Linked DNA regions of Arabidopsis thaliana. The protein of the gene in region 2 purifies or fractionates together with the protein of the main gene of each other region. This does not show direct contact. Each region holds a gene or a part of one and is shown on either strand. Other genes may lie near its edges. The genes, in order: hemf2, AT3G53580, AGD2 and AT1G12230.

The links.
Region 1: the proteins of AT3G53580 (region 2) and hemf2 fractionate together in Arabidopsis thaliana (co-fractionation; one large-scale study listed by BioGRID). This does not show direct contact.
Region 3: the proteins of AT3G53580 (region 2) and AGD2 fractionate together in Arabidopsis thaliana (co-fractionation; one large-scale study listed by BioGRID). This does not show direct contact.
Region 4: the proteins of AT3G53580 (region 2) and AT1G12230 fractionate together in Arabidopsis thaliana (co-fractionation; one large-scale study listed by BioGRID). This does not show direct contact.

Annotation. Positions count from the first base shown.
Region 1 is NC_003075.7:1,410,828-1,415,317, forward strand, and holds hemf2 (Coproporphyrinogen III oxidase), read left to right. Parts: upstream 1-1,957; 5' UTR 1,958-1,986; coding exon 1,987-2,511; intron 2,512-2,599; coding exon 2,600-2,675; intron 2,676-2,754; coding exon 2,755-2,876; 3' UTR 2,877-2,932; coding exon of another isoform or gene 2,933-2,938; 3' UTR 2,939-3,697; intron 3,698-3,790; 3' UTR 3,791-3,955; downstream 3,956-4,490. Other genes in the region: AT4G03200 (catalytics), read left to right, coding at 1-109, 202-465, 547-657, 729-953, 1,026-1,229, 1,307-1,483, 1,554-1,739. UniProt on the Arabidopsis thaliana protein: Key enzyme in heme biosynthesis. Catalyzes the oxidative decarboxylation of propionic acid side chains of rings A and B of coproporphyrinogen III.
Region 2 is NC_003074.8:19,862,746-19,867,680, forward strand, and holds AT3G53580 (diaminopimelate epimerase family protein), read left to right. Parts: upstream 1-1,885; 5' UTR 1,886-2,038; coding exon 2,039-2,314; intron 2,315-2,420; coding exon 2,421-2,588; intron 2,589-2,665; coding exon 2,666-2,736; intron 2,737-2,836; coding exon 2,837-2,894; intron 2,895-2,997; coding exon 2,998-3,177; intron 3,178-3,265; coding exon 3,266-3,350; intron 3,351-3,472; coding exon 3,473-3,532; intron 3,533-3,633; coding exon 3,634-3,707; intron 3,708-4,045; coding exon 4,046-4,162; 3' UTR 4,163-4,389; downstream 4,390-4,935. Other genes in the region: FC1 (serine/threonine-protein kinase AFC1), read right to left, coding at 118-232, 345-393, 477-630, 758-784, 887-1,061, 1,213-1,380; AT3G53590 (LRR receptor-like Serine/Threonine-kinase), read right to left, coding at 4,634-4,935.
Region 3 is NC_003075.7:16,171,157-16,176,709, reverse strand, and holds AGD2 (Pyridoxal phosphate (PLP)-dependent transferases superfamily protein), read left to right. Parts: upstream 1-1,986; 5' UTR 1,987-2,079; coding exon 2,080-2,162; intron 2,163-2,400; coding exon 2,401-2,477; intron 2,478-2,595; coding exon 2,596-2,663; intron 2,664-2,858; coding exon 2,859-2,975; intron 2,976-3,259; coding exon 3,260-3,322; intron 3,323-3,534; coding exon 3,535-3,639; intron 3,640-3,724; coding exon 3,725-3,775; intron 3,776-3,876; coding exon 3,877-4,197; intron 4,198-4,272; coding exon 4,273-4,479; intron 4,480-4,569; coding exon 4,570-4,863; 3' UTR 4,864-5,029; downstream 5,030-5,553. Other genes in the region: AT4G33700 (CBS domain protein (DUF21)), read left to right, coding at 1-44, 119-163; AT4G33690 (G patch domain protein), read right to left, coding at 573-861, 967-1,249, 1,344-1,512; AT4G33670 (NAD(P)-linked oxidoreductase superfamily protein), read left to right, coding at 5,264-5,433. UniProt on the Arabidopsis thaliana protein: Required for lysine biosynthesis. Catalyzes the direct conversion of tetrahydrodipicolinate to LL-diaminopimelate, a reaction that requires three enzymes in E.coli. Not active with meso-diaminopimelate, lysine or ornithine as substrates.
Region 4 is NC_003070.9:4,146,232-4,151,570, reverse strand, and holds AT1G12230 (Aldolase superfamily protein), read right to left. Parts: upstream 3,610-5,339; 5' UTR 3,522-3,609; coding exon 3,468-3,521; intron 3,378-3,467; coding exon 3,236-3,377; intron 2,833-3,235; coding exon 2,754-2,832; intron 2,662-2,753; coding exon 2,596-2,661; intron 2,492-2,595; coding exon 2,416-2,491; intron 2,322-2,415; coding exon 2,238-2,321; intron 2,145-2,237; coding exon 2,040-2,144; intron 1,951-2,039; coding exon 1,870-1,950; intron 1,795-1,869; coding exon 1,730-1,794; intron 1,636-1,729; coding exon 1,566-1,635; intron 1,493-1,565; coding exon 1,317-1,492; intron 1,233-1,316; coding exon 1,094-1,232; intron 1,010-1,093; coding exon 863-1,009; 3' UTR 515-862; downstream 1-514. Other genes in the region: RPS5 (Disease resistance protein (CC-NBS-LRR class) family), read right to left, coding at 3,891-5,339.

The DNA.
Region 1 (4,490 bases), on a different chromosome or scaffold from region 2:
GATTGCACCTGAAGGTGGAATATTCTCAGCTGAAGATGCCGATAGCTTTGAGTTCGAGGGGGCAAAGAGAAAGAAAGAAGGAGCTTTCTATATATGGACAAGCGATGAGGTTCTTTTCTCTGATATATGATATATTCATGAGCTGACTCTGGTTTCCCTCTGCATACTGACATTTGTTTTGCGTGTGTGTTTGGTTTCAAGATTGATGAAGTCCTCGGGGAGAATGCTGATCTTTTCAAGGAGCATTATTATGTTAAGAAATCAGGTAACTGCGATCTTTCGAGCAGGAGTGACCCGCACAATGAATTTGCTGGGAAGAACGTGCTGATCGAAAGAAATGAGACGTCTGCTATGGCATCAAAGTTTAGCCTCTCTGTTGAGAAGTATCAGGAGATATTAGGTGAATGCCGAAGAAAGCTTTTCGATGTCAGATTGAAGCGACCTAAGCCGCATCTAGATGATAAGGTAATACTCTTCTTGGAATTCTCATGTTGTCTTCTCTACTGTTTCTTCAGATTTGTTAACCATTTAAGATTTCTTTCATAGATAATCGTGTCTTGGAACGGTCTTGTTATCTCGTCTTTCGCAAGAGCTTCCAAGATTCTTAAGGCTGAGCCTGAAAGCACCAAATATTATTTCCCTGTGGTGAATAGTCAGGTAATGAATGCTACACCCTTTCCTTTAATTTCTTCTTTGACCGTTTTGTAATTAGAAGACTCATTTTTCAGCCAGAGGATTACATAGAGGTTGCAGAGAAAGCAGCTTTGTTTATCAGAGGAAATCTCTATGATGAGCAGTCTCGCAGATTACAACACAGTTACAGACAGGGGCCATCCAAAGCTCCTGCCTTCTTAGACGATTATGCTTTCTTGATCTCTGGTTTACTCGATCTTTACGAGAATGGAGGTGGGATCGAATGGCTTAAGTGGGCGATTAAACTTCAAGAAACACAGGCAAGTGAGATCTTTACTAGCTCGATTTGTTAAAGTTCTTGATTTTGGCTAAAAAAGTTAAAAACATTTTAGGATGAGTTATATCTGGACCGAGAAGGAGGAGCATACTTCAATACTGAAGGACAAGACCCATCGGTTCTTCTTCGTGTAAAAGAAGATCATGATGGTGCAGAACCTTCAGGGAACTCTGTTTCTGCTATCAATCTTGTGAGGTTAGCTTCCATAGTCGCCGGAGAAAAAGCTGAATCCTACCTCAACACGGCACATCGTCTCCTGGTAAACAAACAAACAACTAATCCCATTTGCTATTCATAGAAAGAGATTATTGAGTCTCTTTGTTGTTGTTTTTGCAGGCAGTCTTTGAGTTGAGGTTAAGAGAACTGGCGGTGGCTGTGCCATTAATGTGCTGCTCCGCAGATATGATCTCTGTTCCGTCGAGGAAACAAGTTGTATTGGTTGGTTCTAAGTCTTCCCCAGAGCTTACCAACATGCTTTCTGCAGCACATTCAGTCTATGATCCTAATAAAACGGTAAGAGCTTAAAAAATTATCCAAATTTCTAGATTCAAGATTTGTGACTTTTGGTGGTTTTACTGAGCAGGTGATTCACATAGATCCCTCTAGTTCTGATGAAATCGAGTTTTGGGAAGAGCATAACAGTAATGTAGCTGAGATGGCTAAGAAGAACAGAAACTCAGAGAAAGTGGTGGCTCTTGTTTGTCAACACTTCACTTGCAGTCCTCCTGTCTTTGACTCTTCTTCTCTCACTCGCTTGCTTTCCAAGTAAACAAAGATCATTCCATGTTTAATAGTTGCTTGTACTGTAAGGAACAGATCAACGTTGTTCTCTCTGTTACAGTCTTACAGAGTAGATAAATAAAGAAGAGAACTAAACCGAGTATGAGGTTTTTTGGTTGAACTAAACCGGAAATAACCGGGTTTGGTTTGGTTAAAAAAACAGAGCTTTGACGATTCCTTATCATCTTCTATCTTCAGCAAAAAGGTGAAAACTTGGATTCGATCGATCGCTGAAAATGGCGTCTCACTCTTCGACTCTCTTCACTTCTCCTTCTTCCTTCATTCTCTTCTCTTCTCATCGTCTCAAATCTTCTCCGAATTACTTCACTTACCACTTTCCTCGTTCCGTAAAGAGACCACATTTCGACTTGCGATGCTCAGTCTCAATCGAGAAAGAAGTTCCGGAAACAGAAAGACCTTTCACTTTCCTCAGAGTCTCCGACGGCGATCAAACTCAATCTTCTTCTTATTCGGTTAGGGCTCGTTTCGAGAAAATGATAAGAACTGCTCAAGATAAAGTCTGTGAAGCCATTGAAGCAGTCGAAGAAGGTCCTAAATTCAAGGAAGATGTTTGGTCTCGACCCGGTGGAGGTGGTGGAATCAGTCGTATTTTGCAAGACGGAAATGTATGGGAGAAAGCTGGAGTTAATGTCTCTGTGATTTATGGTGTTATGCCTCCTGAAGCTTATAGAGCTGCTAAAGCTGCCACGTCTGAGCAAAAACCTGGTCCGATTCCGTTCTTTGCCGCTGGAACCAGCTCGGTGAGTTCTCTCTCTCTCTCTCTATCAGTCGACATTGCTGTTGATATGGTCTCTGAGTTCTTTGATTGAGCTTGATCCTACATTCTAGGTTTTGCATCCTCAGAACCCTTTTGCTCCGACTCTGCATTTCAATTACCGCTATTTCGAGACCGATGCTCCAAAGGGTAAGACCTTAATCCTCTTTGAGAAGTGTAAAGTTCCAATTTTTTGGTTGGATGAAGCATTTGATTTCATCACTTGTAGATGTTCCTGGAGCTCCGAGGCAATGGTGGTTCGGTGGTGGGACTGACTTCACACCTGCTTACATCTTTGAAGAAGACGTCAAGCACTTTCATTCGGTCGTTAAACCTGATCCATTGTTCTGAAAGTTTGAAGCTTTGTGATTATGGAGATGCTGATTGAAATATCTTTCTTTGTGTAGGTTTAAAAGCAAGCCTGCGATAAATTTGATCCGTCGTTCTACCCTTGGTTTAAGAAATGGTGTGATGACTACTTTTACATTAAGGTCTGCAGTTCCTTTAACGCTATTCTGATTGTTTGGTGAGATCTTAGCACTTTGTGGAACTAAAAGACCTTAGTTTTAGAGTCATGTATGTGCAAGAATAGATTTAGAGCCTCAAGGTTTTGTTTAGGTTGATACAGTGATAAGTTGTCGCCTAGGATTTGAAAACACTAAAAACTTTACGGTCTTGCCTGCAGCACCGTGATGAGAGGCGAGGGCTTGGAGGGATATTTTTTGATGATTTGAATGACTATGATCAAGAGATGCTTCTGTCATTCGCCACTGGTAGTGACCAAGATATAACTTGTGACATTTTGTTTTAAGAAACTTCCTAGTTGACTTATTTGAATACTGAGATGAATTTTGCAGAATGTGCAAGCTCAGTGATACCAGCTTCTATACCCATAGTAGAGAAACGTAAAGACACACCATTTAACGAGCAACACAAGGCATGGCAACAGCTGCGAAGGGGCAGATATGTTGAATTCAACTTCGTAATTGGATACTACTAGCTTTGTTTTTCTTTCTGTATAAATATCTCTTGAAACCTCGTCTCATGTTTTGTTGCTGATGGTAAAAATAAAGGTGTATGACCGCGGAACAACATTTGGTCTGAAGACTGGAGGACGAATAGAGAGTATCCTTGTCTCTCTTCCGCTATCTGCGAGATGAGAATATGACCATGTAAAGTTTCTTGATTCAAGAAACTAAATCTTGTTTCATCTTAGCTAATGAAACTTAACTACTGATGGTGTTTGTCTCTTGTTGCGGATGCAGAAACCTGAAGAAGGAACTGAGGAATGGAAACTATTAGATGCTTGTATCAATCCAAAAGAGTGGCTTTAGTTAATTAATTGTGGTTATTTCCCCAATTAGCTCTTTTATTAGTTTTGTCTTTAAAAGCCTTAAAAGAGTAAAGAGTCTAATGAAAAGTGAGTGAGATAAAGAAATTGTAATTTGGCGTCATCTCATCATGAGTCACTGACAAACAAAGATCATGATGGTTGATGATGGAGTATATAGTACCAATCGTGATGATGATGATAAAAGTAATTAACTTTTAATTTTTTTTACTGACACAGTAAAAATAAGAGCCGTTGGCTCAAATAGCCGAGCCTCTCGGTGCACGCACGCATGCCACTTGCTCGGTAACTGTTCACTAGACAGAACACAACAACACTCAAATAGAGTGATAACATTGAATCTGATGATTTGGTTTAGTATAAAAATCGTTTCCAAGTTTCAACGAGTGGGACTTGTGTTAGGTTAAACAATTTCGGATTAAGTAAACGTCACTGTCTCATTTGTCTTGATACAAGAAACGCCCGTGATATTTTTTCTTCGATGTCGTCCAATGGGGACAAAGAAACAATTTAGTCCCCGGATATACACACACACACACAAATAATACATGGGTGTTGTTATTATGGCTTACCTTACACAACACAACTTGCCAATGTTTTTAAATTTACTAAAA
Region 2 (4,935 bases):
AAGAACATTAAGTAATAACTATTAACGCCTAAGTCTTGTATCAAAAAGTTAAGAAAAATGATTTGTGGCACTAATGGACTACTATATAGAAGAATGGGTCAAGAATATTCCACACACATGCAACAGACTCCAAAAGTTGTCTGCCAAGCTCCCGAACAAGATCAATGGGAAATGAACGGTAGCTGTTTTTGCGGAGAAAATCATATAAGCTTGGTCCAAGCTTCTCAAATACCTGTTGAAACCATTTAAACCCATGCGCAAGTTCTTTTAACTCACATAACATTTGGGCGTGAAGAAATTGCATTTTCCCCTCAAACTTGTCAAATAAAGGTAACAGCACTTACAATACAAATATGATTACGATAGTCAAACCAATTCCGTATTTGCACACAACTGCAAGGAATTGAAAAGCTTATACCAAATGTAATAAAATTAAAACTAGCGAAGAAATAGTAAGAGGAAAGAAATATTCTTACCGAGAACCACCGACATCATGCCTTGTAAGCCTCTGCAGCACGTCAATTTCGATCATGGCAGCTTCACGATACTTGTTTATGGACCGTATAACTTTGATTGCCACGACTTCTTTGTTTTTATTATCAAAGCATTCCAATACTTGTCCAAATGTACCTGCCAAAATACAATCCAATTGATTAAGATAACTGGCGACCAAATAAACATATTTCTCCTACACTTTGAAAAACAGAATAATCTAATCATAATGATTATATAAACATTTTCGCAAGAGATGACTAACCTTCACCCATTTTGCTGAGAATTTGATCTGCACGCACAATAGAAGAGGCATGTCAATGTAAACCTCCATGATAAAGTCTGTGAAACGTAACAGATAAGATGTCGAAAGACTCTGTAACATAAGACTCACATCGTGGAGTCAAAGTATCCCCAACAACAAAGACATAATGGCCGTCTTTATCATCTGGTCTCCAGGGAGGAGAGCCCTGACGAGGAAGGCCATTATAGAACATGTTTGGGTAAACAAAATTGGGAACTAAACCACTCGCAAACTCCGGACCATAGTACAACGGAGGTTGAAATACCTGAAAGAAAAAAACACATCAGCTGAAACTTAGCTCAAGCACACAAATAAAAATCTTAATTTCTTACTAGTTAACACAATTCGCAGTATCTTATGAAAACAACAAAAGAACAGTCCATTGATACCAATACAATATGTGGACAATTCGTTACCGTGGGTGGAGGAGGAGGAGGAAGAAGAGGCGGAGCAGCATCCCAAGTCAATCGGGGACGTTTCCTGGGACGCTTATCAACGATCCGATGAGGGAATTCAACATTCCTCTGAGTTTCTAAGATCATCGCGATCGAGCTAGCTTTATCACGATACACACTGCTTTGCATAAAGGATTAGAAAAATGCAAATCCAGAGCTGAAATTCAGAAACCCAGATTATGAACAGCGAGAGAATTGCGATTGAATTTCGAATCTAATTAGAGGGATAATAAGATTCCGAAATTCGAAACCCTAGTTATCTTCAATTTGGGGGGGATCTATCTCCAGAAGATAACTAAAAAAGGTGGGAAAAGTAACAGAAAAATATATTAAAAAAAGTGGAAGTAATGTAGCTAATAAACTAACCGCAAATTTCTCTCACACAGAGTAATTTAAAACGTTGAATTAGTCGCTGTCGTAATTTGATCGCCGGAATTCAGATCGGAGAAACAATAAAAATGCTCACTGAATTGGAATTGAAGAAAAAAATCTCAGGAGAAAATATTTAACAGCGAAAGAGACTGAAATGAGAGAGAGAGAGAGAACCTGAGGAAGAGAACAGCGAAGGAGCGACAGAGGCTCTGGAAGTTCTTAATGGGCTTTTTTAGTCAGGCCTTTATTAAATATATGTTGACTAAAGAAACGACATGATGTTATTACTGTTGAGGATAAAAACGACGTGGAGTTCAGTTATTTAATATCAGAACAATGGGGTGTTTTCTCCAAAGTCTTTTAATATGGAGGAGACGGGAGAGTCGTTGAACAAGAAAAATAATCTGAAGCAGCCATGGAGATAGCCGCCGTTAGCACTGTCTCCGTCGCGCCACAATCGCGCAGAGTGTCGAATGCGTTCTCCAGGAATCTAGGATCCGTATCTTCTCTTTCGTTTGGTTTCTTTGAGAAAGAATATTGCTTTAAGAGCCCTAGCCTTCGTGTGTCTGCAGCAGCTTCCATGGACGCCGTCACAGCTGAGAAATTTTCTCCGGCGAGTTTTCTAGACAAAAAAGAAACCGGAGTTCTTCACTTTGTGAAATACCATGGCCTCGGCAATGACTTCATTTTGGTACTTTTGTTCACCGTTGAATTCTCAATTTGGTAATTTAACCCGAAATGTATCGAATTCTTACAAATGTTTTCAAATTTTTCGTCTTTGGAATTGGATTTTGTAGGTCGATAACAGAGACTCATCGGAACCTAAGATTACTCAAGAACAGGCGGCGAAGCTGTGTGATCGAAACTTCGGTGTTGGTGCCGATGGAGTGATTTTTGCAATGCCAGGAGTCAATGGTACTGATTACGCAATGCGGATTTTCAATTCAGATGGTAGTGAACCAGAGGTGGGGCTTTTCGATGATAATGTCTGGTGATATGTTGTTGCGCTCGAAGTCATTGGCTTTTGATTTTGTTCTTGTAGATGTGTGGCAATGGAGTTCGATGCTTTGCTAGGTTCATTGCTGAGCTTGAGAATTTGCAGGGAAAACATAGGTATCTCTATCTGTATTGAGAAATATCTGTTTAGACTTGAGAGTTCCGAGTTTAGTCAAGCTTGATGTAACCTTAAGTGTCTATTTATTTGTTTTTGTAGTTTTACAATACATACCGGTGCCGGGTTGATTGTTCCAGAAATTCAAGATGACGGACAGGTAGATCATTTGGATTGATGTCTCATATTAGGTTTAGTCGTATTCATGATGATGGGTAAGGTAAAGTTTGGATTTTTATTTTTTGTGATTGATATTGGTACAGGTTAAGGTTGACATGGGGACACCGATTCTTAAAGCACAAGATGTGCCCACGAAATTGTCAGGGAACAAAGGTGAAGCTGTTGTTGAGGCAGAGCTAGTTGTTGATGGAGTAAGCTGGAATGTGACGTGTGTTAGTATGGGCAATCCTCACTGTATCACATTTGGTAAAAAGGGTGGACCGGTGCGTGTTTCGTTACTAGACTTCTAATCATATTATTTGTCTACACGTGAATTTCTTATCATTTGTAATTTTGGTTTGTGTCAACCAGAATCTGAAAGTTGATGATTTGAACTTACCAGAGATTGGTCCAAAGTTCGAGCATCATGAAATGTTCCCAGCTCGAACTAACACAGGTTAGTGGAGATTCATCGGCAGATGTATCCAGATTTCCATTGACTGATACAGCAAGACTTCTCGCTTATATTTGGATTTATATCCCTTTAGTTGTCTTACAGTTCTTTCTGTGTATCCGCAGAATTTGTTGAGGTCTTATCACGTTCTCATTTGAAAATGCGTGTGTGGGAGCGCGGAGCAGGTCCGCAAATTCCCCCCAATCTTCGAATATAATTCTCAGTTGATTATAAACAGTCTCTGTATCCTTATATGCTTAATGCTTACGCATACTTAAAACTGCAGGAGCAACTTTGGCCTGTGGAACTGGAGCTTGTGCTCTGGTTGTTGCAGCAGTCCTTGAAGGTCGAGCCGACAGGGTAAGTTTGGAATTTCAGAACTTAAAAAACTAGATAACAGTTTGCAAAATGGTACACTGGATTAGCAGTTTTTAAGCATTTTTTATGAAACCTGAATGTTGCATTGAATGGTTGGATGATTTGATTGGTAGACGATTGATGAGATTATGATTTTACTAAGTACTTTTCGTTCGCTTCGTCTCTTGTGGGAGAATCTTGTATTCGTTTTTTTTGGTTCTTCACTCTCACACAAATGTTTCTTGGATATTCATTGGAGCTTAAAGATTGTCATGAGCTGAGATTAGCTGCATGTGGTGACCTTGAGTTCCTCATATATGTATTGGTTTATGGTGGAACAGAAATGCACGGTGGATCTACCGGGCGGACCATTGGAGATAGAGTGGAAACAGGAAGACAACCATATCTACATGACGGGTCCTGCAGAAGCTGTTTTCTATGGATCAGCGCTGCTCTAATGGGCCTTCACAGTCGATGACTTCTCCTCTCTCTGTTGTTGTTCTTTTGGGGTCTGTGTGTTCTAATTCAAACGTGTGAAGCTCTTACCTGTCCTGCTAGATTGTGTTTCATGGATTTTGTTTATGTACTTTTATTGTTTTCAGAGTATCCAAACCTTTTGATTTGTTGCTGCATCTATGTTCATAATTTAAATCTTCTTTTCCTCGGAATATAGCTCTCTTCTACACTGATTCTCCACCAGACCAGACATTGTCAATGGCCGTGGTTGCACATAATGACAAGAGAAATGAAACTTGAGAGAATACAAAACCGCATATGTACATGATAAGATTGGTTAGCTTCCATATCTGCATAGATATTAGCTTATATGGTTAGGAATCAGGACAACATAACTGGTATCATAATATCTCCTAAGTATAATAACACAACTCTCATTAGTCTGATGTTAGCCTATCTCACACAAATATTTGTCAACGAGGTTTTACAGCGTGGAAAAAGCCACTGTCCAAGTTACTTCCAGGAAGTAAAGACAATGGCGAGGGTACAGAAGAAGATGACGGCGATGTTTTGGAGCAGAGTAATTTCGTTGTTTCTGAGAACATTTCGGGTTCTCGCACAGATTGGCAAATACCTTCAAGTTCTTTCACCACTTTTGACATTGGTGGTCTCGTCTCTGGTCTATCTTCACAACACCATAAAGCTAATTCCGCCAACTTCTTCACTTTATCGGGCGAACATTGTCCCATCCGACTATCCGCCACTGACAAAACCG
Region 3 (5,553 bases), on a different chromosome or scaffold from region 2:
TCGGAATCATTACGATGGAGGATGTCATTGAAGAACTTCTGCAGGTAAGGAATCTTATATAAGTTAAAAACAAAAATTCTTTTTCACGGATTAATTATTGCTTGGCTTGTGGTTGCAGGAGGAGATCTTTGACGAAACTGATCACCATTTTGAAGACTCCTAACACAGAGTGCATGACCACTGAACTGGTTATGAATGTCGAAAACTTTAGTCTTTGTTTTCAACTTTCAAACTGTCACTTGTCCGGCGAATGTGTATCAATGTAGGCATGAACAACAACTTTTTCTATGGTTTCAAGATGTTTTCTCTCTATATATATATCATTGGTCTCTAAGATATGTCGCTCTCTCCTTTCTTCAAAGAGTTTTACCAAATCTGAACCCTCATAGGCCACACCAATAGTTGTCTCTACTACCTATATATCATTAGTCTCTAAGATATGTCACTCTCTACCTTACTTCAAAGAGTTTTTATTCGCATTTTACTAATACAAGAATTAATGAAATATGATCATCTTATGGATACAACATCACTGCCGGTGTAAAAAGGCAATTACTTTTGTCCGGAAAGATCTAGTCCCTACCATATTTTCTCTTCTTCCTATCCCTTTTCTTCTCTTTTGACTTGTGTTTCTTACTAAGTTTCTTCTTATGCTCCTTTCTCTTTCTATGAGCCCGTTTGTAAACTTCCTCCTCGTCGGAAGAAGAAGAATCTGTCCTACGTCTCAATAAAGGTGATCGCTCTGGCTGAATCACTAGCTTCCGATCTCCTGTATCAGAAGTTCTTGACAATTCCCTCTCAGGAAGACAGGGTAGCGGTTCATCCATCATAGCACCAACAGAACCTCTGCCACGCTTGACCCTATCATAGACCAGAATCACAAGTTTTATCAGCAAAAGCCGATCCCAAATTCGATCATTATTGTAAAGGAAATAATCAGGCAGCATCTGAGTATAATGGAAATACCTTGATTGGAGAAAAGTCTTAACCTCGACATCTCCTAAGCCTTCATCATCATCATCCTCTGATTGCCATCTTTTGCTTCTGCTCCGGCTTGATGATGGTGATAAACTAGTAGTAGTAACATTCTCATCAACTGAAGTACATCTCTTTAAAAAATCCCTCCTATTGTTCTGCTCACTTTGACCATTGCTGCTCTCATCTCTTGATTTTCTTTTGAGCCTTTCACCAAACTCAATCTCTTTACTCCGAAGACTCCACATCTCATTGGTTTCCACAGCTTTGTTTGCTGAATGGAATAAAGAAGAAACAAATAAGAGATAAACTAAAAAAAAACTAGATTTTGTTGGATAGAAGCAAAGTCTGTCAACAAAAGATTATACCTTGCTGAACACCAAGAACTGTAGCAGTGAGAAATCTAGAGTTAGGTCGATGCCTTACATTAGGCTTCTCAAGATATGCTCTGACGCCATCTTTCTCAGCTTGTCTCCTCAATTCTGCTGCTTCTCTTAAAAGAATGGAAGCTATTCGATTTTCAGTTTCCAGATCCATCTACTCCAAGGTAAAACAAAAAAGTATAAGCCTAATCAAGTTATGTGATCAAATCAATCTGGGTAGATCAAACAAAGATGGAGTTGAACTTAATTCGACCACTACAGCTATCTAAATCATTGCTTCTTAATCACAGAACTTCCACTAAAGCTACGTTCTTTCGACAACGAAATCAACGAAGCAAAACAAACAAAATTACGTAAACACACAACAATCGAAAAGGGGATTTTTGGAGAACCCTATTGGTCGAGATTAATTACCACGAAATCGAATTGACTCAGATACAGATATCTAGTAGCAGCTTCACGAAATCGTGCGATTCCTCGGCGTTTTCCAGCAGGCGCAGAGCAAAATCATTGTCCGAGCCAGAGAGAGAAATAAATAAATTGAACTGAATTGGAAAATTCCCAAAAATTTCTAGTAAAACCGAACCGGAACAAACCGGATTAATTTCCTCTCAGACCAAACCGAAGAAGAACCCTAGTTTTATCAGTCTCACCAACTATCTCCCATGGTTCATTTGCTCTGCAAATTTGTCTGAAAAAATCTTTGTGCGAAGCAGGAAAAATGTCGTCGACCCATCAGTTAGTTTCTTCGATGATCTCTTCTTCCTCATCCACTTTCTTAGCCCCTTCAAATTTTAATCTCAGGTGCGTCGTTTTGTTTTCTTTTACTCTCTGTTTGCTACTGATATAATCTAGTGAGGATGAATATGAAATTGGATTCATTTCCAGAAATTAATTGTATGTTATGAATTTACTTGGAAATTTCAATCCTTTGGTTTTTAAGTCGATGTTGGATGGTGTTGTTTGGCCAGAGAACAGTGCATTTGCTTGTGATGATCATTGATTCATTTTTTTATTGGTTTGCTTTCCTTTTTGGCTTCAGAACTCGAAATGCTTGCTTACCCATGGCAAAACGGGTCAATACTTGCAAATGTGTTGCTACGCCGCAAGAGAAGATCGGTAATGTTCCTACTCCATGTTGTTTTTGCTGTAATGATTAGTAACATAGTTAATGATTTATCGTCTTTTAGCTGTTTATCTGTTTCTTACAATACATGATTTTGTTTTCTGTATGTAGAGTATAAGACCAAAGTGTCACGGAATTCAAACATGTCCAAACTTCAGGCTGGATACCTATTCCCGGAGGTTTGTTACCTGTTACTCTCTTGGTACTACTATTTAAGATTTCAAATACCTAAAGGAGTGGCATTTCAAGTTAACATTTTTGAAAGCTTCTAGTGATCTGAAATATTATAACTATCTGTGTAATAAGTTAATATATCCTCATTGATTCTGTATATAATGCTCCTCTCTCTTATTTTTTTGTGTGGATGCAAACAGATTGCAAGAAGAAGGTCTGCACACTTGTTGAAATATCCAGATGCACAAGTTATAAGTCTTGGAATAGGCGACACAACTGAGCCAATTCCTGAAGTGATCACTTCTGCTATGGCAAAGGTACCTCCTTATCTTAACTTAGCTTCATGTGCTCTTTGCCCTTCTCTGGGCTCTAGCATATTTTAAACTGATTTTACTAACACTGCCCTAACATGTATTATTTCGTTCATTTTGACAAAAATGTATAACATATTTTCTGTTTTGGCGTATTTGGATTATTAAACGAGAACTTCTCTGTAATCTAACAATGAAAATTATTCTGGTAGCATAGTTTTTTTGTTTGCTATACTATTCACACAGGCATGTAATCTCTAGAGATTAATCATGTTTTTTTTCTCTGACAGAAAGCTCATGAGTTGTCAACAATAGAGGGATATAGTGGTTATGGTGCTGAACAAGGTGCAAAGGTCAGTGCACCCTTCATTTCCACCTTATTGCGTTGTTATCATTTCTTTATTATCTGCCTTTGCACGTCACTTCAATTTTATTATGGATAGTCTTGAACTGCTGCTAAATTCAAGAGAAGATGGATTTAAACCTGTTTCTTACATGTAAAATCTTAAAGCTTAATCTGTTAAGTTTTTATCCAAACTAACCTTGATTTCACATATGTGAAAAGCCACTGAGAGCTGCTATTGCGAAAACATTCTACGGTGGCCTTGGCATAGGGGATGATGACGTTTTTGTTTCTGATGGAGCTAAATGTGATATCTCACGTCTCCAGGTTTGTTTTATTGCTGACTATTCATCTGTAATTGATACAAGATTAAGAAATATGAACAGCTGTTTCTTGATTCCACTTCTTGCAGGTTATGTTTGGTTCCAATGTTACAATTGCTGTTCAGGATCCTTCATATCCGGTAATTGGGCATATAGAAACCAAATTGCAGTTGTAGTCTTCTCTACTTTTGCTCCATTTTAACGTGGAACTATGCTGTCTCGTTTTTTTTGGATTATACAGGCTTATGTGGACTCCAGTGTTATTATGGGTCAGACTGGGCAATTTAACACTGATGTGCAAAAGTATGGAAACATCGAGTACATGAGATGCACTCCAGAGAATGGCTTCTTTCCCGACTTGTCCACCGTTGGCAGGACAGATATAATTTTCTTCTGTTCCCCAAATAACCCTACGGGTGCTGCTGCCACGAGAGAGCAACTAACGCAGTTAGTTGAGTTTGCAAAGAAGAACGGTTCTATAATAGTGTATGATTCCGCCTATGCAATGTACATGTCTGATGATAACCCACGATCCATCTTCGAAATCCCTGGAGCAGAGGAGGTAATAGACTGATTGATTATAACATTAAAAGGTCCATTTTTCAACATCTTTCTTCATGTGTACAACCGCTTACAGGTCGCTATGGAGACAGCTTCGTTCAGCAAATATGCTGGTTTCACTGGAGTTCGACTTGGTTGGACTGTCATCCCGAAAAAGCTACTCTATTCAGACGGTTTCCCTGTTGCCAAAGACTTCAATCGGATTATCTGCACTTGTTTCAATGGTGCATCTAATATCTCTCAAGCTGGTGCTCTTGCTTGCCTTACACCCGAAGGACTTGAGGTTAGCTTAGCTAAAGAGAGATCTCAAACCAGTTCCCACTAGTTCAGATATGCAAAATGATTTATTTTGTTGTCTTTTGAATCATTGCAGGCAATGCATAAGGTGATTGGATTCTATAAAGAAAACACAAACATAATCATTGACACATTCACATCTCTCGGGTATGATGTATATGGAGGAAAGAATGCGCCTTACGTATGGGTTCACTTCCCGAACCAAAGCTCATGGGATGTGTTTGCTGAGATTCTGGAGAAGACTCATGTGGTTACAACTCCAGGAAGTGGGTTTGGACCAGGGGGTGAAGGGTTCGTTCGTGTCAGTGCCTTTGGTCACAGAGAGAACATCTTAGAGGCATGTCGAAGATTCAAGCAGCTTTACAAATGAAGAACCTTGTTTGTAATCGTTCCTCATCATCATCACCCTCTTTAATGACATGATTTGAGTTAAAATAATGTCGTTTCCATTGTTTTCTGGAATTTGTAGAAGACACTTTTGACACCAGTGTTTCAAGCAATTTGGCAAAGTATTTTAACAACGAAATCAAAGTGCAAATAAGTGAACTAGTGTGGAAAATAAAATATTTAAATTGGACTGAGGAAGAACGTCAAAAAAATATAAAATTGGATTGGTTAAATAAATCTAAAATTGGACCGGGATGGGTGTTTTCGTAATTTAGGCTTGTTGAGCCACCGTGTGGGCAAAAATATCCAAAAACACAACACAAGTGTTGTCTTCTCGCGTCTCTCATCAACGAGAACCAGTTTTTTTGTTGATCCTATCAACAATGACGAAAATAGAGCTTCGAGCTTTGGGGAACACAGGGCTTAAGGTTAGCGCCGTTGGTTTTGGTGCCTCTCCGCTCGGAAGTGTCTTCGGTCCAGTCGCCGAAGATGATGCCGTCGCCACCGTGCGCGAGGCTTTCCGTCTCGGTATCAACTTCTTCGACACCTCCCCGTAAGCACTTCTTCTTCTTTTATATTTTCTAAAGATTACTGATTCTTCAATACTAATTGCTGATTCTCTGAATGTTGAGACTAATTTAATCGTTAAAGTCAAAATTTTTATTGGAAGGTT
Region 4 (5,339 bases), on a different chromosome or scaffold from region 2:
AAAATAATCTAGGTATTTCATAATTATTGGTATGAACCCACAATAATTAATCACAAACAACATGTCGTCAAAGGAAAAACGCAATCACACAGGAAAAAAATGATTGAACTAAATTTCAATTATCTTTTTTTTTTGTCAACAACTAAATGTAAGACGTACGAATTTGTAAACATTAGAAGATAAGATTTATAACATGGTACGTTTCTGCTTGTGTGAAAATTACTAAATGACATTAAAGAAGGTGGATAGAGAAGTGACTAGACATCAGATAATGCATCTGACTGAGATTGATAAGTTTATGTTGATCCTCTTCATTGTCTTCATGATATTTATCATTTGGTACACATAAATTCCCAATTTTTTTTTTGGATTTAAACCGTCTTTCTCGCCCTAAAAAAACTCATCTTTTTATCATTTATCTTAGAATTTGTCAAACAAACAGTGTTTGGCCTATGTCCAACTTTTTTTTGTCTAAGAATTTTTTTATTTATTTTCAGTCCATAGTTAAATTTTTAGTTTAGTTTGAACTTTAATAGAACCCGATTGGTTTTACAAAAACAATCGGTTCAATTTTGGTTTATCGGTACAATCATGACTCAGAGATCTGAGAACCGACTAAGTCAATTACAGAGAAAAAAAGACCGAAGTTCAGACGAAACAACATGAAAAGGATTTGGTTTTAGACTTTTAGTCTTAAAACTAAAGTCTCTTATCTTGTAGCCCAAGTCTCAGACATGATGAACAACAAGCCACGAAAAAGATAAAGAGGGCAGGAAGATAAACAGGGTAGTGTTCAAGTAACATGGACACTTAGTTCTCTTATTGATACAGATCCTTATTGATGAAGAGAAAAGCTGTGTATTTAGACATTAGGAGGTGGCCAAATCTTCCCGAAAAGCTCTTCAACACGTTTCGCTTGGTTCGCATAACCTTCAACACCGGCTGATAAAAGCTCCACTGATGCAGGACCCATAGATGAAGCCAAGCTTAGCTGGTCCCATTTGACCAGCTAAACCAGAATCAAACAAACAGGGTGAGACACTGGTTTAGTGAAACCAGAAGCAAATGAGTGTTGGTTAGCTTCAGAACTAACCTCTTTGTTGGTGAAGTGGTAATGTGTTGCAGTTTCAGGAGTAAGTTTCCGAACAAATGAGTATTTTTCATCATCGGGAATGGCGGGTGAATCTTTAAGAGATTGCAGTACCTTTAATGGTGCAATGACATAATCGACCCTGAGATTGAAGAGAACATTGAAAGTTAGAATGTGATCAGAATCCATTGATGGTCGAAGCTATGATTTGGAAGTTTGAGTTTACCCGAGAAGACTGAACAAGTCTTGTTTGTTCCGGACAGCAGCAGCCATCAGCTTGGACTTGTAACCATACTTGTGAATGTAGTTATATGATCTTTTGACCAAGGCCAAACCAGGATCTTCTCCCGATTTAATAGCAGATTCAATCTCGGTATCTCCCGAATGATTACGCGCCCAATCCTAATGATTTTAAGATATTAACTTTGGCATATCACTGAAATCACTTAGCAGCATCTGTTTAAAAAATGGTTACCCTGAGGCGACCGACGAAAATCTGAATGACAGAAGCACCGGCTTGAGAAGCTGCTGCAGCTTGTGCAAAGCTGTTGATGAATGCAAAACGAAATTATAAAGTAAACAAATCAGATGGATAGACAATTCTAAAATAAAAGAGTCAAAAGGTATGTTTTATGGTACCTGTAAACAAAGGTCATATGCGTTTGGATTCCCTCTGATTCCAACAATCTTGCAGCTTCAATACCCTATGAGAGGGATAAGCACAATACTAAGAGACCAGTAAAAGGTAAAGCTTTGGTATTTGCTGAAAATAATCTTACTTGCCAAGTTGCAGGGATTTTGAATAGGAGCCGGTCGTGTGGTACATCGATTTCATTGTATAGTCTCAGCAGATCATGAACCTACACACATCATCACATCACAAGTTAGTGATTTGAAGATACAGGAGACATATAATCAAATTATCTTATATATATGGTGTAGTAACTACCTTGCGGATAATGCCATTTGTGTCATAAGCAAGACGTGCATCCACTTCAGTAGAAACTCGACCTGGAACGAGTTTGACAAGATCGCCACCTACGTTGACAATAGCCTGCACTTTTCTCATCAGTAATAAGGGCAAAAAAAGCTTTTAAGCAGCAAAGATCTGGAAGTGGAAAAACAGATAAGGGATAAGAAGATCAACCTTATTGAAAAAGCAAGAGAGTCGAGATTCTGTGGTTTCAAGCCCTGCACAAGAAGAATCCGCCAAAGCCATGTCCACAGCATTCTAATCATGATGTAAAAATGTCAAAATTAAATGAGCCCAAAACAAGAGATGTCATATACTATCATCTAAGAATCAAAACTCTTGAAATGCTTACGCGGAAAATGGTATCAGGTAGACCACAGATACCCAGAAGAAGAGCAGAGCTAACAGTAGCTGCAGTCGGCGGAAACCTGCAGATCAGTAAAATACAACAAAGGTATCAATCCAGCACAATTAGAAAACCAAAAGGTTATACTATCTGGTTTTCACAATAACTAAAGGTTAGAAGTTATACTTGTGAGGGAGTGAGTTTTTACATCTTAAGCTAATTTCTTTCTTGTATCCTCGATCCAGAGAAAAACTCAGTACAATCTCAAGTTAAGAATGTCTGACTCCATTTTTATGATATACCAGTGTAACTAAAGTCTCATGAAGTAGAGATATATATCATACCTCTCAAAGTCATCGAAAACGACAGTATCAGGAACAATCTCACTAAAAGCTGAAACAGCATTTAGCTCATTGTTCTCACCTGAAAAAAAAAACACAATTTCATCAAACAACTCAATGATCATCTAAAAGCATTCCAGAAGAAATAAAGTTGAGAACTTTAGGAAAACCGATATCATCCAAGAACAATGTTAAACACCAAATACACAATTTGTTTCTTCAAATTCAACCATAAATCAACACTGTTCAGCTAAGAACTAAAGCAACCAGAAGGTCCTGAACTAAGAAAGGTAAACCAAAAATAGCAACTTTGTCAAGCATAGTTTCCTAACAAGTGACTCAAGACAGTATAAAAACAAACCCACATAAAAAGAAAGCTTGAATCGTAGTCAATCTTTCAAAAACCCATACTTTTGTTTTGTCTTTCCAGAAATCGTATTTATTAATTAATGAGAAACACGATCATCAAAGATATAAACAAATACCAGCTTCGAGAGACGAAGACGCAGGAGAGGAGGAGGAACTAGCGGAAGCAAGAATCCGAGGAATCGATCGCCGAAGACTGAAGTTAACGGCGGGAAGAGGAGTAACGGAGAATCCGGCGGCGAGCGTCTTCCATCGTCCCTTCTGCGAAGTTCAAAGCTCGCATCCATTAGATAAAAAACAAACAATGCACAAATACATGCGATTGAAAGAAGTAAGCGAAGAGGAGAGTACTCGGATTGAAGCAGAGAGAGTTGCACAAGGCGGAGATTGCAACGAGAGTGGCATTTTTTTCGCTGAAGTTGATCTGAGTAAGCAGATCCAGCCGTTGATATCTTCCAATTAACGTGGGTCCCGCCTTTTCTAATTTATCCGAAAACTGTCAACGAGATAAGACAGTTAATTATTATTTTATTACAATGGTTAGGAACTTGCAAGTTTTTATTCATTTTCTCATGAGTCTCTGTGTAATGTTTCTATGAAGCCGAAACAAACACTCATCGTTTAGAGAAAGAGATAAGTACAAATCCAATGATCACTAACCAAAAGAACGATGAGAACGGTTATGCAAACAAGAAGAGACAAGGAAGAGATTTACACACCGGCAAATGTCTTTAGACCATGACAACAAAAGTTTGTAGAAGAAAGTGAAGTTCATTATGTTTCTCTCCACCGCCACCTGGATGAAGGTAAGAAACGGAGTTGAGTTGCTTGGTCCTCCCATTCAACCCTTTCTATCCATTCTCTCTCTCCATAATATATGACAAGTTCTTCACCCGCGATCCCACTTTTAGAATCCAATGGAAGCTTTCTCAGCTTTTCACATTTTTCTACGTGGATAACTTTCAGACACGGAAAATGCAGAGCCTTTGCATAGATTCTCTTGAGCCCGCGTAATTCAAACAGGTGTAGTGTCTCCAATTTCCTAAAAGGAACAATCGTAGCTGAATGCTCCTCAGCTTTCTCTTCACTAATTATATCCTCTACTTCCTTTGAGAACCCAACTTCAAGAAAAGTAAGATTAGGAGCAAACAAAAGCCACGTCAAATCCTTAAGACCATGGCATTTAGCTATAAAGACTCTGGAGAGGTTTGAGAAGCATGGAGTTGTGGGACTTTTGTTCCGAGACGATGATGAAGTTGTCCTCTCTATCTTTATCTCCCTCATTCCACATCTTTTTATCCCGAGCTTGCGGAGATTACCCATGGTTGGCAAAGTCAATACTCTCACTGATTCTTCCTTAAGGTACTTAAAATCTACCTCTTTTATACATTCCACCAACCTTTGAGAGCATAACAATGGCTCTGCAACCAAACTTGATGATATATCTAGGGTTATAACTTCTAGATGTTCTAAGAGCTGCAGCTCCTTCACTAAACTCATATCTAGCAACAGTCTGGAATCTCGTAGTCCCAATGTCCTCAAATTCCACAAATTTGATATCCCTAATATACTCCCAAGACTGCTCATGTGTTCGAGATTCAGATGTATTAGCTTTTTCAATGTCCATAAACCAACGGGTAGTTGATGTATACATGTATATGACAAGTTGAAATATCTCAAAGAGGCCAGCTCTGATATTTCTTCTGGTAATTCATTAAGACTCTGATTCTCTGATAGATCTAAAACCACCAGATGAGGCATACATCGAAAGAATTCAGCCGAGATCTTTACCACGTCGTTCTTTTGGAGAAATAGAGTTGTAAGTGCAGCACACTCGTGACTGTCAAATATCTCTTCAATCTCATTATTCATCAAAGAAATCTTTCTCACAGTGTTCCAATCCTTGACTTTTGGTACTTCACGTAACCCAACACCAGCTCGCACAATACATTTCTCCTTTTGCTTCCCAAGATCGGATGATATCCATAGAGCCATCTCACGAACCACATCATGCATTTTCACGTTTGATTTGTTCCTTTCTTCCTCCAACAACAAACATGCACGGACAAGGGTACCAATTATCTCATAACCTTGGTTAATATTCCTCTCTCTGCCTTCTTTTTCATTTATGAATCCCTCACTTATCCAGTAGTCTACCAACCCCTCTTTATCAATAAGATAGTCTTCAGGAAACAGAGAGCAATAGAGGAAGCAGGATTTCAT